2 linked regions of the Oreochromis niloticus genome follow. Each later gene encodes a partner of the first gene's protein in a complex. Links are inferred from orthologs where the notes say so. Each region holds a gene or a part of one and is shown on either strand. Other genes may lie near its edges.

Region 1 (7,131 bases):
TTAATTTCTTAATTTATGCTTTTTGGAAATCAGCCCATTTTCACTCACTCACAGTAACAAAGAGCTTTTAAGGAGCTCACCTGCTCTTTAAGGAGCATGATTCCTCCGCTGGACTGGATGGAGCAGATCTCCCTGTGTTTGTTCATGGCGATTACCAACAGGCCATCCATCACTCGCTCCTCCCGCTCACACGGGTCCACCAGCAGGTAAGTACTGCAAGGACACAATGAGGAATGTTAACGTTCAAACAAGTGGTCACCTGCAGGTACTCAGAAGGTCCGCAGAAAATAAGTGGACTGTTTAAGAAAACAGCCCGAGTTCAGTTAAGTTGCTCGCCTGATCGCCTGCATGTTACTACAGTTAAATGCTGGATCAGGTGACCCCGAACCCTCACTCAGTTGTGCCGCTAAAGTCAAATTTATATTCACTCTCACTGGCAAATTTATTAGGTACACCTCGTTAGTATCAGGTTGAGATGATCTGAGTTTTATCATGTGTGCACTGATCATAAAGATGGTGAGCAACAACCCACAGGCAGGCTGTGGAGTTGAAACAAGGAGGAATCCAGAGTTTCCCCCAAAAAAGTCCCTCACACTATCACATCATCACAGGCAGGGTGGACTCATGCTTTCATATCGTTCACCCCAAATTCAGGCGCTATCATGCAAATGTCACAGCAGAAATCAAGGTGCTGTCAGACCAGGTGATGTTTTTCCATGTGGGAAAAGTCCCAGAAGATCAACAGTTTCTGAAATACCCCGGCCCGTGTAACACCAGCAACCACGGCACTGTCTTCATGCCTCAATGCACTGAGCTGCTTAGTAAGCTGCTGAACAGGTGTACCTAACAATGTGTCCAGTGAGTGTATACCACTAATACTTTTCTCTTCTCTCTGTCTCCTGCTTTCCCCTCACTCCCCAGCTGGTCGTGGCAGGCTGATGAGGGCTGCCCCTCCACGAGTTTTGTTCTGGTGGAGGTCTGAAGTGACTCTCTATAAACACTACTGAATATACTGAGTTAACTAAAACCTGCTGCACCTGTAAACATGACATTAAAATTTTGATAAACAGGAGAAAAAAATCTTGTGAGAAGCAATCTTTTACCCTTGTTGGAAGAAGGCGAAGCTGACGCTGATGGGCATGTGGTAGATACTCAGAGGAATAGGGTCTCTCTCCTCTGGACTGTACTGAAGACAGAAATTAAAAAAAAAAAAAAATACAGCTAACATAAAGCAGAATTCTCATGAAAACAATAACATCATCACTTTTCTCCCAGCAGGTCCAGGGAAGCTCAGACACCACCTGCTGTGGTGCTGCTGACTCACCACTGTGACTTCCTGTCCCTGGGTGCTGACGTCAGGGCGCCTGAAGTGGCACAGAGCAGTGATGGCGGCAATGCTGGCGGCATCCATCAGGTTTCCATCATTATTCAGTGTGTGAACATCCACCCTGATCTGCCACACCTAGAAACCCACAAGCAAGCACCACCACCATCATCATCATCAATACATGAAGCTTCTTTCTGTCTGTCGTGTGTGTGTGTGTGCATTACCTTTTCTCCAGACACCACACACAGAGACTCCGTATCGATGCACTTGGAGTTTCTCAGGCATCTCTCCAGCTGTCTGTTTAGCTTCACTGACAGCTCAGACTGTCTGGAAACACAGAAAACCCCACAGATGATTTACACTCTCTGCTCCAGCAGTCTGTCTAAATGAACCAGTCAGCCCCAGGGGAGGACCACTACTCGGGAACTTATTGTAATTTACAATAACTGCAGAGGTCATCTATAATTCACCAGCTATCATTTTCCAAACACAGAGGTCCTCTTACATATTATTTCCATGTAAATCAGAATTGTTGGTAAGCTAAGGTAGCTACAGTAGATCAACCCTTAATTACCTCACTTAGAAGCCAGGAGCAGGAGCACCATAGATCAGATGCCCAAGCCACCTCAGCTAGTTCCTTATGTTAGCAGCTGTACTCTGTGTGCCTCCTGAAAGAACAAGCTCCACACCCTGTCTCTACGACTGAGCACACACTGCCTTTGGAGGAGCTCATGTCTGTCGCTCGCATCCACAATTTCAGTCACTAACCACAGCTCGTGGTGACATAGATGGACAGCTATCGTTTCATGGTAACCTTTCTCCTCACCAAAACAAAAGTGCCACCAATCCTTTTATCAGTGTCCCGCTGCATACATCCCCAACCCAGTCGATACTCCACCCTCATCCAACTGAGAACCACGGCCTCAGAACATGGAAGCTTATTATGGATGCTTTCCAGTCACCAGATCTCATTAAATTCAGGAACAATGTCCCCTACACTCCATAAAAAACACACCATGCTTATTTCTTTATATTCCAGTGAACATAAATGAATGAGCTGAATTCAAAGAGTGAGGTTCGTCCTCACCTTCCCTGCTCAAATCCCGGTGAGGCCATCGGGGACAGCTCGATGTTGAAGAACATGATTCCTTCATTCGGTCGGTTTTCTTTAGGAGCCACCAGCTCGCACGACACCTGCGCCATGACCCTGCGGGGCGCCGTACAGTGAATACAGAGCTCAGTGTACACAGATGCTCAGTTTGACACACGATTGCAAACATGTGGCTGCAACTTAACCTGGTTTGTCCCAGATCCACAAAGCAGCACCCATAGTCAGTCCCAAAGCTGATCTTAATCTTCCTGTAGTCATAGGTCTGCCGTCCATCCAGGCGCTGAAGGAAGAGAACAGAAACAGGACACGTGAGTACGGATGAAAGCCTGCAGGTGTGCTATGGTAAGGCACTATAATACACATCAATCCTCTCTAAAACAGAGCAATGATGCCAGGATAGGACACCGATGCATGTCCTAATGTACATCCTCAGGCTGCGCGCGCGCACACACAAACACACGACAGCGCGTGCTGATTATCTCACCCACCTTTTTCTCTTCGATGGCTTTAAGCAGGAAGTCCCGCTCGCAGTTGGACAGCGGTGTGTCCTTCATTCTGTTTTTGTTATAATATACTGATCTGGTTCACCGTTCCAACAAGCATGTGGCCGCCATCGATGTTTTTTTAACTCTAACCCGGAAGTGCATAAGACACGTGAACGTAAAAGCGGCTAGAATATATATTTTTTTAAATAATTGGCGTATCTCAAATTAATAAGTATTTTATTACACTCCTTTAAATTCATTCAGAATCTTTATTTGTGTCGTATTTCATTATTTTTGATATGTTGGGCGTAGAATTTATTGATAAGGGTCTTTTATTTTGAAATCCCAGCGCGGTGTGATGGCTTGATGCCTTTAGTGACATATTGAAAGCTCGTCCTTTATAGCACTCAGTAGCTGCTTTTTATTCCTTTGGAGGAATTTGGAAATTTTGGAAAACACATCACAAAGCAAAATGTATTTAGTATGAGGATATTCCATTCTTTAAATGTTGTTTTATGTTATGCATTAAAAATAATAATAAAATTCATGTTTTGTCACTCAGTTACACTGAAATATATTTGATAGAAAGGTTTCACTTAAAGAAGGTAAAATTCTCAGTCCTTTCTAGGCTTTTGTGAATGGAATTAAGCTCAATATTAGTAGATTTGCGGCCTCACAAACTAGAAATAAATGTCAATATTATGTGTAATATTATATGAGTATATGCTGCATGTAAGCTTTCATATATCTCCTTCAAATTGTCTTTTCAGCACAGCAGACCTCCTGCTTTCATCTCATCTTGTCCTTAGCATCCACCTCTGACACACTAACCCTCTACATGTCCGCCTTCACTACATCCATGAACCTCCTCTGTGAGAGTCCTCTTTTCCTCATGCCTGGCAGCTCCATCTTCAACACCCTCCTCTGCACAAGTCCAAACTATCCCAGCTTTGCCTCTTTAGCTTTATCTCCAAACTGCTCCAAAACTGACTTCTTCCTCTGATGTACTCATTTCTAATCTTGTCCATCCTGGAGGCTCACAATGAAAATTTTAGCATGTTTAACTCCACCTCCAGCTCAGCTTCCTGTCTTTTTATCAGGACCACCTTCACAGCAGGTCTCATACCATCATGAAAGCCTTCACTTTCATTCTTGCTACTGTCTTTCTACCACAAATCATCACTAACACATGTCTAAATCCCCTCTACCTGCACTTTCTTCTTCGTGTGTTGCTTTGCATGGTTGACTCCAGGAATTAAAATACTTTATTCATTCAAGAGGAAATTATGTTATATGTTATATTTAAACTAATCTGCCTTCACTAGCTTTGGTTTCTTCTGTCTTCACTATTAGGTCTGCCTCCCTGTTCTAGTCTTGGTTTTCCGGACTTTCATTCCTCTTCACTCCAGAGAATACTTCCACCCTTTCAGACTCTCTTCTCACTCCTCCCTACTCTCAGATCACAGGTTAATCTGCAAATCATAGTTCATGGAGACTCCTCCTTCACATCATCTTTCAGCTTGACCTTTACCCTGACAGACAAGAAAGAGCTCTGAACTTGTTTATTTTACTTTTTTCTCTAAATTTTCTATGTTATTAAGCTTTTTCATTTGTGTAATTTGTAAGCTGTTTTATTTATATATTAATTCATTTACTTTTTTTTTTTTAAATATTCAAGATTCAAGATTCGTTTAGTTATGTGCTTAATGTTGAGTGTTCCTTTTCAGTCATTTCATACTTATGAATACCGCTATGCTCTTAATTTCTGCGGTGCCCGAATGCACCCTTTACGCTTCCAACTACCCCTGGTGCGCATGCTCAGTCGCAAAGGAACCTGTCCTCAGCGGCGCACCGTTATCCGGGCCGAGCTGTCATCCACGGTCCATCTCCTGCAGCAGATAACCGTGCTCTCCTCGACTGTATCCCAGTAGTATTCAGCGGGCTCACCCCACAAAACTCTTCTCGTGTTTTTGCGTGGAGAAGCAGTTTTCATCGACGGAGTTTTTTTTTCTTTTCTCCGTGATATCCAGAAGGCGCAAAGGTTTGTTTGCGCTCATTCAATCTCTCTCCATCCTCCCTGTGCGACATCACTGCTAATGTAGCCAGCTAACCGCTGCTGTTCATTCATTTCTGCAACCGAAGAATGCGATATTCGGCGGCCTTTTGGTTTCAAATTAATCATTAGCATCTTCCAATTTAAACACCAGTGTGTGTTGAATTAGCGGGCTCCAGGTACGAGCCCGTTAGTTTATTTCTGGCTGAGCTTATCTTGTGCTAACGTTTGCCGTTTGTGACTGGCGCGCTAACATCAGCTAGCCGAGCAGCTCCTGCAGCCAGAGCTGCTCTCTGAAAGAGCCTGGACATTACTGTGTTTGGTGGCAGCCATGTTAGCGCCTGTGACCTTTTATTTTTTAGTTTTTTTTTTTATTCCTACAGTGTAAACTTATGTTATGACAATGGTTATAAATAGAAAAATGCCACATTGGCGCTGTTTAGCGTCAACCAGATGCTGATAAGGCATGTAGCCCCTGCACACTTCAGCAGGAGGACTGAAGCTTGACTGTGGGTTAAAGATAATGACAGCTGTTGAGTACTAGATTATGTCCACTAATAAATCTGTTTGCTAAAGGGGGGAGTTACCTGCATAACTGATAGACTGACACCAGGTAAGATATGGTCGATGTGTCCTTGCAGGGTATTAGAGGTGTCAGCTCCGCATTTTTGTATATTAAGCATGACAGGGCAAGTTGGGACACCTGAAGCCTAAATCCCCAAACCATAGACAGAATAAAAGATGGGTGTAGCTCCTTGGTTTGAAAAGGGAAGCCAATGGGGAAGTGGCTTACACCTAGTGATGCTCCAATCCAAATTTTTCCAGTTCCAAGACCTCACAAGTCTGCAGATAGTGTTGATCTAATGCCAGTATTTGATTAAGCTGTATTTGTCATTGTGAGGAAGAAACTAGGAATCATTCTCTCGGTGCTAAGGCAACATCAGGCTCAACTTAACACTGATATACTGACGTTTTAAAATAAAATTAGGCACATTCATACAAGATTTTATAATTTGCTAATAATAGTTGATCATTTAGTTTAGAAATTTACGCTGTTTATTTCAGTGAGAAGAATAATGCATGACAGCAGGCACAAGACAAACAATGTTTGGTTTTTTTAATGTATTTGTAGTGGTAGTTTTCCATTTCCTTTCTGTCTGAGACCTTTGAAATGGTGCATCAAGTGTTTCACAACAAGTCACAACAGTGGAACCAGTGTCCTCCTAGCTTCTACCAAATATAATGTCTCTCTGAACAAATGTACAGAGATATAGTAAACAAACAAATGAGTCTTTGCTAAGCTTTTTAATCCTGGCACCACAGTTTATAGTTGAGTAAAAAACATATTCAAACATGTGAAGAAAATCAGTTGATGTTGAAGGTGTGAAATACCTCCAGACTGCTGAACCTTTGCTGTTAACTTCCCCCAGTCTAAATTAGCTCTTCAGCGTAAATACAGGACATAGTACTGGGCTGTTTATGGGCTGTTTGTTGCGGATATCCCATCCAGCTTTTTGAGTGAGGATCTGGGCCATATCTTTGGTGCATTCCTATTCAGTTTTATTATTTTTACCGTAAGCCTGATCTGTTGCTCATCACTGGTTCGTGAAGGAAAGTAAATTAATTTATCCTGCTATATTTTCAGTTTACCTGTTAACTCAACGCTCATTAAACATCACACCTTTAACCAGACCAGCGCACTTCAACCAGGCATTAGCATCTCCACATGGCTGTCACAACAGGGGAAGATGGAACCGTGATAAAACAGAATGGTTCCACCCCATCAAACTTACCTGATTTTTAAATGTCGAGCTCTCTTTCAAACTGAGCTTCGCTTTCAGTCCAAAGATGCAAACACATGAGCAACAGCACAATGCCTTTAAAGATAAGACAGCTTTTTCACTATGCTGCTCTTTCATCATCTCTCCCTTATGTTCATCACAATCCTTTTGATCCTCCTGCACTCTGTTGTTAGCAAACAGAACAACACCAGTTTGGGAATTAAACTTAATTAGGAATTAAGGGAAAGCATGCCGCTGCGCTGTCTCCAGTGATGCTTTTCATTTCCTGCTGCTCGCAACAAGAGCGAGCGGGTGTGGGCTGATCAATGGGAGGTTATTGAAGCTGATGTTCAGCATGCTAAATCGCCACTGTT
Region 2 (7,249 bases), on another chromosome or scaffold:
TGGAGGAAATAAAACTACCTGCTTGTGTCACAGGATCACTGAAGGGCTCTCGCTGGATTTCGTTCAGTAATCAGCAACAGTTGGCCTTTCAGTCAAAAACACTCCCTAGTCCTGTGTCCTCCAGAACTCCTCATTTTTATGTATTCATTTTTAATTTTAAATTATAGTTAATATAAAGGAGTCCTGCAGCAGACTGGCGACCTGTCCAGGGTGTACCCTGCCTCTCGCCCTAAAACAGTGGATAGGCGGAAATGAATGAATGAATGAATGGATAAAGAAAATACCCTTTGAGACACCAATTTTTAAAGTTCAAAAACTGCTGGTGTTGTGTTTTAAATAATCAGGTTGAGCCAGGAGATGCAGGAGGAAACATACCTGTCTTTGAGACTCATAAAGAATGCGGTCCATTGTGTTCAGCAGGGTCATCTTCTGATAAAAGTTCAAAACTGTCTCTTTGGAGAGCTGTGTTGGAGAGAAACACACAATTGACAAATTAACTTTGGCTCAACAGACTGCAGAGGTCTTAGGGGCACATTTGGGAACCAGGAGCACAGGCAGGCTGATTGTACCTGAGGGTCTTGAGAGGGGTTGATGATATTTCCCTGCCTGTCCATCACCCGGTACACTGGGATCCCAGAAATGACATTGGGCTGGATGAACTCGAGCTGATCCACAAACTCGGCTGAGGCTCCTGGAAACTGGGGCTTTTCCAGCGATGAGTCAAAGGGCTGCTGCAGCTGAACAACCTGAAAAGATTGATTACAATCATTATTTATTAAGAATCTCATTGTGGCTGTGGCAAAAAAAAGGCTCTAGGAAAAGAAAACACTGCATATCAGGTCACAAAACTCATACAAACTGTCAAGCACGGTGGTGGAGGGGTGATTTGAGCTTTTTTTGCAGCCACACAGCCGTGAACTCTTCTGTATACCAAAGTATTCTAGAGTCAAATGTGAGGCCATGTGTCTGACAACCACTGGGTCATGCAACTGGATAATACTAAGCAGAGCAGCAAATCTACAGCAGGATAGCTGAAAAAAAGGTGTTCCAACGTCCCAGTGACCTTTAACCTGACTGAGATTCTGTGGTAGGACCTTATGAGAGGTGTGCACAAACAACTTACCTGAATTTATTTTGTTAATAATATTTTTTGTATTTGTGTTGCTTCGTTGTATTTTGCTCTTTTCCCCCCCCACGGGTTTGTCCACCAGCACTTTGAACTGAATTAATAAACTGCATAAAAATGGAATTAAAAATTAAGTTTCATTGATTGATTATTAGTTTTAGTTTTATTTTTTTCAAAAGGCTAGTTTCTAATTTTAGGTAACCTTTTTAACATCTAGTTTAAGCTTTTAGTTTTGTTTTAGTTAACTACAATAACACTCGTTGAATCTTTAGACATTTTAGAAAGCTTAACTTCAGAAAGCTGAAGACAATACAATACTCTTATAAATCATGAATAAGTATGTACTTCTTACAGTGCAGTTCCATTGCTCCACTATAACAACCATTTCCAAATCTCCCTCCCATACAGATTTTAGACACTCCAAATGATTATTGATGGACCTATAAATAAATAAATTAGATTATTTTTAAAGAGTTACATACAGATTTAAGTGCTGGAGCGATCGAAGGAAATAAAATAGCAGCGAAGGCCATAGAGCAGCAACAGTTATTAAATAAAGTTGTTTTGAAAAAATGATGCATTCGAGGACATCGGATTTAAGCTTAATGCAGTTTGGATGCAAACTGCATTTCGTTGCCCTGTACCTGTGACATGTGCAATGACAATAAAGTTGAATTCTATTCTATTCTATTTCCTCCTTCACGCCCCTTGGTTCGACCAATGGAAAAGAAGCTAGCTAAGCCTTTAGCCGGTTGGCTAACTAGTCAAGTGTGAGAGTCAAAACAACAAAAATTAAAATTAGTATTTATTGCAACTAAAGTTGTTTATTAAAGATCAAACATGTATTCACTAAATATGTGAGAGTTAGTTTGACTTTTCACTGATACATTGGAGAATCGGTATAGAATTTCAGCAAGGTTGTTAGCCATGCTAGCAGCTCCGTAGCTAACCAGAATCTTTGCGCAAACAAGACATAACCCCAAAACTTATTAAAAGATAGGGTGACAATATTTCGAATTCCAAAAAAGAGGACACTTGGCCCAATCATGAAGAACTATAATAATACTGTTTGCTTAAAGAAAACTGTGCGGTTAATGAATGGTGAAATAAAAAATGTTTCCCGGCCCCTCAATGGCAGCGTTATCTCCAGTCCAGACTCCGCAGGAGCGACTTTTCCCATAATTTATTCATCGCCCTATCCAAACACTGCATCGGAGTTTTCACTTACAGTGACCCTGAAGCCTCTGCGCTGCAGCAGTCGAGATGCCTTCAGTCCTGCTGTCTGGCGGACAGCGTGGAAACAGAGCCCATACATTTTGCTCATGCTGCTCACAGCCGCCATCGGCACTCAGTAGTTGTTTGATTTAACCGCCGCTGCACACCGGTTTAGAGAAGTTACACTGTGGTGGATATGTAAAAATCTGGCCAACGGAACTGCTAATAACCACCGCTCGCTGTCCTTCCTGTTTACATCCACAGTTTACAGGCCGATAGCCGCAAACTGACTGCACCATTAAAGCCGGCTACAGTATCCTCAACATCCGGCCAGGCCTTCAAAATAAAACCTTAAGTTTAGTTGTCCGTTTTTACATATTTCATAAGTTGAAGAAATGAGCGATTAAAGATGTCGAGATTTAACACTCTTTTGTGTTAGAATAGCAATAATAAATAAATAAATAAATAAATAAATAATGCGTGGGTTTTCCAGAAAGGCAGAGTGCCAGTTTTATGAATTAAAGCTCCCCCTCCCAGTCGGGGAATTAACCTGATGAAAGTCCATTGTGTGATACTGACCTGTTAATTAAAATACTGTCACTATGTTATATGCGTCACGAAGCGCCTTGGTCGTTTTCCGGTGGCCTTTTTGGGGCGATTTTAACTTATCAAAATCAGTATTGCCTATTTTAAGACACATTGCCTGCTCAGACACAGCAACGCAGTCACATTAACAACAAACGACAGTTATTACAATGTGATATATAATACATCTTACAAAAAGAAGTAAAAGTAAAAAAAAAAAAATGAATGAAAAATTGCGCATGTGTCTTTTTGGACATACAGATCAGCTGTAACATGCCTGAAACAGTTTGTAATAAAACAGCGTTCCTCTAACGAACTCTACCTGAGATGTCAGTTATACCTAAGTTAGAGAGTCAGGGGCAGATATGCAATAGGAAAGAAAGAAAAAGAGAGAAGGGAGGATAGAGCCGTAAGCAGTATGGAAAAACTGATGAACACAAGTGTTCTTAAATACAGTCATAAAAGAACGATTTCTACGTCCTTTCAACCCTACCAAAAATTAAACCCTACTCTGCTGCCATCTTGTGGTCACAGTGCAGTAGTGCATTAATAGCAAAAGCAACGTCAGTGGCATGCACAGTAAAGAATATTATTACTTCCAGTCCCGATGATAAACCAAGTAATATCGCAGGTAGAGGCGTTGACATATTAAAATAAAGTATTTCAACTACTTGTCAAAATCTGAAAATGTCTTCGCTTCAGTTCTGAGCTAACTGATGTTGTAAATGCAGACTGCAGATAAATCAATTTTTGCAGCCACGAGTATTTATCGCCATCTAGTGGTGATAGCGCGAGCTGCAACATGGTGATTGCAATTCACATCATGCCAGTGAAAGCTCACCTGTGGAAAGCAGTAAATAAACTGATGTAGATAAAATTCCGGTGGGTGGTTATGACGAATAATGAAAAAAAAAAAAGAGAAGAAAATGATAGGTTGACACCGTTGTGTTTAAATGCAGCTGCTGCCTGCCATCTGGCGGTCATTGTGAGTAACTACACATTGTTAAACTCACAGTTTACACTATTATACGGATGCTGCACTTCCGGTACTTTCAAAATACATTAAACGTATTAAGGCAAAGTAGGGCTTCAGATTGCGTCAGGAAAACGTGAATTATGATGAAAAAATATTATTTTTTTCTTCGTTGTCATAGATATATATTACAGATCCACATTTCTTGTGAATTAACTATTTATTAAAGCTAACATTTCTTTCTCATTCTGATGTCATCAGTAAGGAGCGTAAACTACAGGGAAAACAGATGACGCCATCCGCCTGCGACAAATCTGCTTTCTCCACGATGGAGGTCTGCGGCTCCCTGACTGTTTCTTTGAGAGAGTTTGGTTGTGAACAGAGCTTGCTGTCTCGACCTGATGGCTCTGCTTCCTTCGTCCAAGGTAACACTAATTTTAGAAACTATTTATCTGGGCGTTTATTTGCCTCTTACCGCTAAACTGGACTTAAAAGACGGAGAAAGGTTAGGGAACATCTCTGGAAATTAACCTGCCACTTCAGTTACTGACATGACTTTCTTTACCTTTATGAATAAGAATAAAAGTAAAACATGCTGGGGGGGTATTGTTAATCAGGCATAATATTTACCTTTTCGCAAAACTGGTAATCTTATTTATACATATTTATATCTCGGGGTTTTAACATGCTTCGATGTGATTATGCAAATGTAATATAAGAAATATTGAACTATTTGTCAAAATAATGTAACGATGAGAATCAGGAGCGCATCTATTGTGGTGGTATGGGGTGGCATGGGGTGGCATGTGCCATCTTACCTTTGTATATGACAATGTTGTTTATTAAAATAAGGTAGCATTAACTTTGAGCCTAGCTACAACTAATTAATAAAATAAAATACATTTATTGCATAGTGTTAACCGCCCTCCAGGGGCGGATCTACTGTGCACATTTTGAATCAACACCATGGACATTTCAGATTTCAACACTTCTCTGGAGGCTTCCAAGTCACATGACCAATTTAAGATGACATAGCAACAAGATGCAGTCTCCATTTAATTTTCATTTTTGTTGAAAGTTCAAACTATGTACCAAGAAAAGTTAAAAAACTGCATTTTCTAATAACAGCGCGAAAAAAACCCACCACTTTCCTATTGGTGGAAAAATGTACCATATTGACCAATCAAAAAAAATTATCTGGCAACATGTGACATTTGTGTTTTGGGGAAAAGGGGAGAGCAATTCTACAGTCATTGGATGTGAGAGATTTGTGACATTTAACGTGTTTGGAGTGTGTAGTTAATGTAAAGTTAGTGTGTTGTGTAGTTCTTTGTTTTGTTTTTATGTGTCAAAACAATGAGGACACTAGTGATTGTCACAGTTGCTGCCAAAAGCCATCAAAGGCAGATTGCAGCGTAAACGCTGTCTCCAGGTGAAAAACAGTGATACGCATACTGTTGTTAGACCTGCAGGTTTCAGGTCTGTGATGTGCTCCTCTTTCTTGTGGTGGACAGAAACTTTCTTTTGGAGTGGCACAAATAATTTGTGTGGCATCTTATTGTGACACCTGTTCTGTAATTATAGTTTTAGTAGTTGTACAAAAATGTCTGAGGCATTGGCTGCATTATTAGGTAAATAGTTGCATGTATCTTTATTCTTTGCAAGATTTGTGCAGGCGTTTTTAAAATTTACAATTTATATTTGCAATTCTGAAACATTTTGGCGTTTTATTTGTTTTGTTTTTTGTTTTTTACAGTAAAACCTTTTTCCTGCTCAGATTTTTTTGGGGATGTAAATTCAGACATGTGAGATTGTGCTGAAAAGAATGATACCAAACAAGACAAGGCAAATAGTTTTTAAAGGTGAAATGTAAAGGTAAAATTAGTAAGTAGTCAAAAATGGCCAATAATATCCTGGACATCAGAGGGTTAACCTAATAAATCATGAAAAATTGTGGTGAAAACTTTTTCATGACAGTGCAGACTTCTGGCAATTTGTGTAAATTAAAGCCTGTAACAATTTGATTATTTCTAATTTTAAAAAGAGTGTGAAACTAACCGAACTGAACTTCTAACTGAACCATCTCATGTCTTGTACCTCTATGTATTTTATACTTAATGGCCAAATGCCTATTTATTATATAGGCTATACAGTACATCAAATCAAAATGTACATGTTTTATGTAACTGAAATGTTTAATTATTTGGGCTAAAGAAAATAAGAAAGTTACAGACTATGTTTATATGAAATGTGTATACTTACTGCATTTGATGTATTTTAAACATATATAATGTCTGTCACAGAATGTAACACCTATGTGGACAATAAGACCAAGGTTCAGGGCATGGGCATGGGGATGACTCAGTATCCTTCTGTAATTTGTGTTTATACTTTTACCTTTAATATTCAGATTATTACTCCAGAATGATTCAGAGATGAGCCCAGCACCCTGTGTACCCCGCCTCTCGCCCTATGATAGCTGATAATGATAAGCAGAAATGGATGGATGGGCTGATTCAGTGTCTTTAAAAAATGTCTTAAGAATAAATGTGAAATTTACATGATGAGACTTTGTGACATCAGCTTTAGTTCTCTTATTAAAAGCTTGTTCTAAATAGGGTGTCTGCGTTTGAGTCCCCTCTTTAAAAACTACATGTGCTGTGAGCATATTTACTGGGTGTCGTACTGCTTTCAATGATTTGATGTTACTGCTTTTCCCCTCCTAGATGTCTGTTTATGTGGGGAAAGACATCATTAATGCTCCAGTGTTATTTATTGAAAAATGCTCCTTTTTGTTCTTGTTTGAAGGAGACACGAGTGTGATGGCTGGAGTGTACGGACCAGCTGAGGTCAAAGTCAGCAAGGAGATCTATGACCGGGCGACCCTGGAGGTGTTGGTACAGCCCAAAGTGGGGTTGCCAAGTGAGTTTTTCTTTTTAAGGGGTAAAAAATTTCATTATGCAGCGTTGCTTATTTTATTTTAGGGAAATAGACTTTTTGCATCCTGATATCTACAAGAATGTTTCAGAGGTTTCTGCTGTGGAAAAAGCTGCTATACCACAGCTCACCACAGGGTGGGGTACGTGAGCTTTCTGCTCACATTAAGTTTTTTTATACCTCGATTTGTTTGTTTTGTAGGTGTAAGGGAACGATCACAAGAGCAGTGTGTGCGAGAAACCTGTGAGGCTTCTCTGCTCCTGACGCTCCATCCACGCTCCTCGCTCACTCTCATTCTTCAGGTCCTGCATGATGATGGTTCAGTATCCTTCTGTAAAACTCTGCAAGCTTTGGGGTTTATATCCAATCTGCAAGTAGGGTTCTAAAATTGAGATGTTTCCTGTGAGTGTTCT

Evidence for each region.
Region 2: exosc9 (region 1) and exosc5 share a complex: the UniProt entries of both Homo sapiens proteins name them as parts of the RNA exosome core complex. The link is inferred for Oreochromis niloticus from reciprocal best matches to the Homo sapiens genes EXOSC9 and EXOSC5.

The regions. Positions count from the first base shown.
Region 1 is NC_031971.2:37,044,656-37,051,786, forward strand, and holds the start of exosc9 (exosome complex component RRP45), read right to left. Parts: upstream 3,087-7,131; 5' UTR 2,993-3,086; coding exon 2,927-2,992; intron 2,719-2,926; coding exon 2,624-2,718; intron 2,535-2,623; coding exon 2,415-2,534; intron 1,655-2,414; coding exon 1,552-1,654; intron 1,463-1,551; coding exon 1,325-1,462; intron 1,187-1,324; coding exon 1,104-1,186; intron 214-1,103; coding exon 81-213; intron 1-80. UniProt on the Homo sapiens protein: Non-catalytic component of the RNA exosome complex which has 3'->5' exoribonuclease activity and participates in a multitude of cellular RNA processing and degradation events.
Region 2 is NC_031979.2:33,449,041-33,456,289, forward strand, and holds the start of exosc5 (exosome complex component RRP46), read left to right. Parts: upstream 1-4,170; 5' UTR 4,171-4,188; coding exon 4,189-4,324; intron 4,325-6,707; coding exon 6,708-6,821; intron 6,822-7,037; coding exon 7,038-7,159; intron 7,160-7,249. Other genes in the region: bckdha (2-oxoisovalerate dehydrogenase subunit alpha, mitochondrial), read right to left, coding at 376-462, 570-746, 2,355-2,468. UniProt on the Homo sapiens protein: Non-catalytic component of the RNA exosome complex which has 3'->5' exoribonuclease activity and participates in a multitude of cellular RNA processing and degradation events.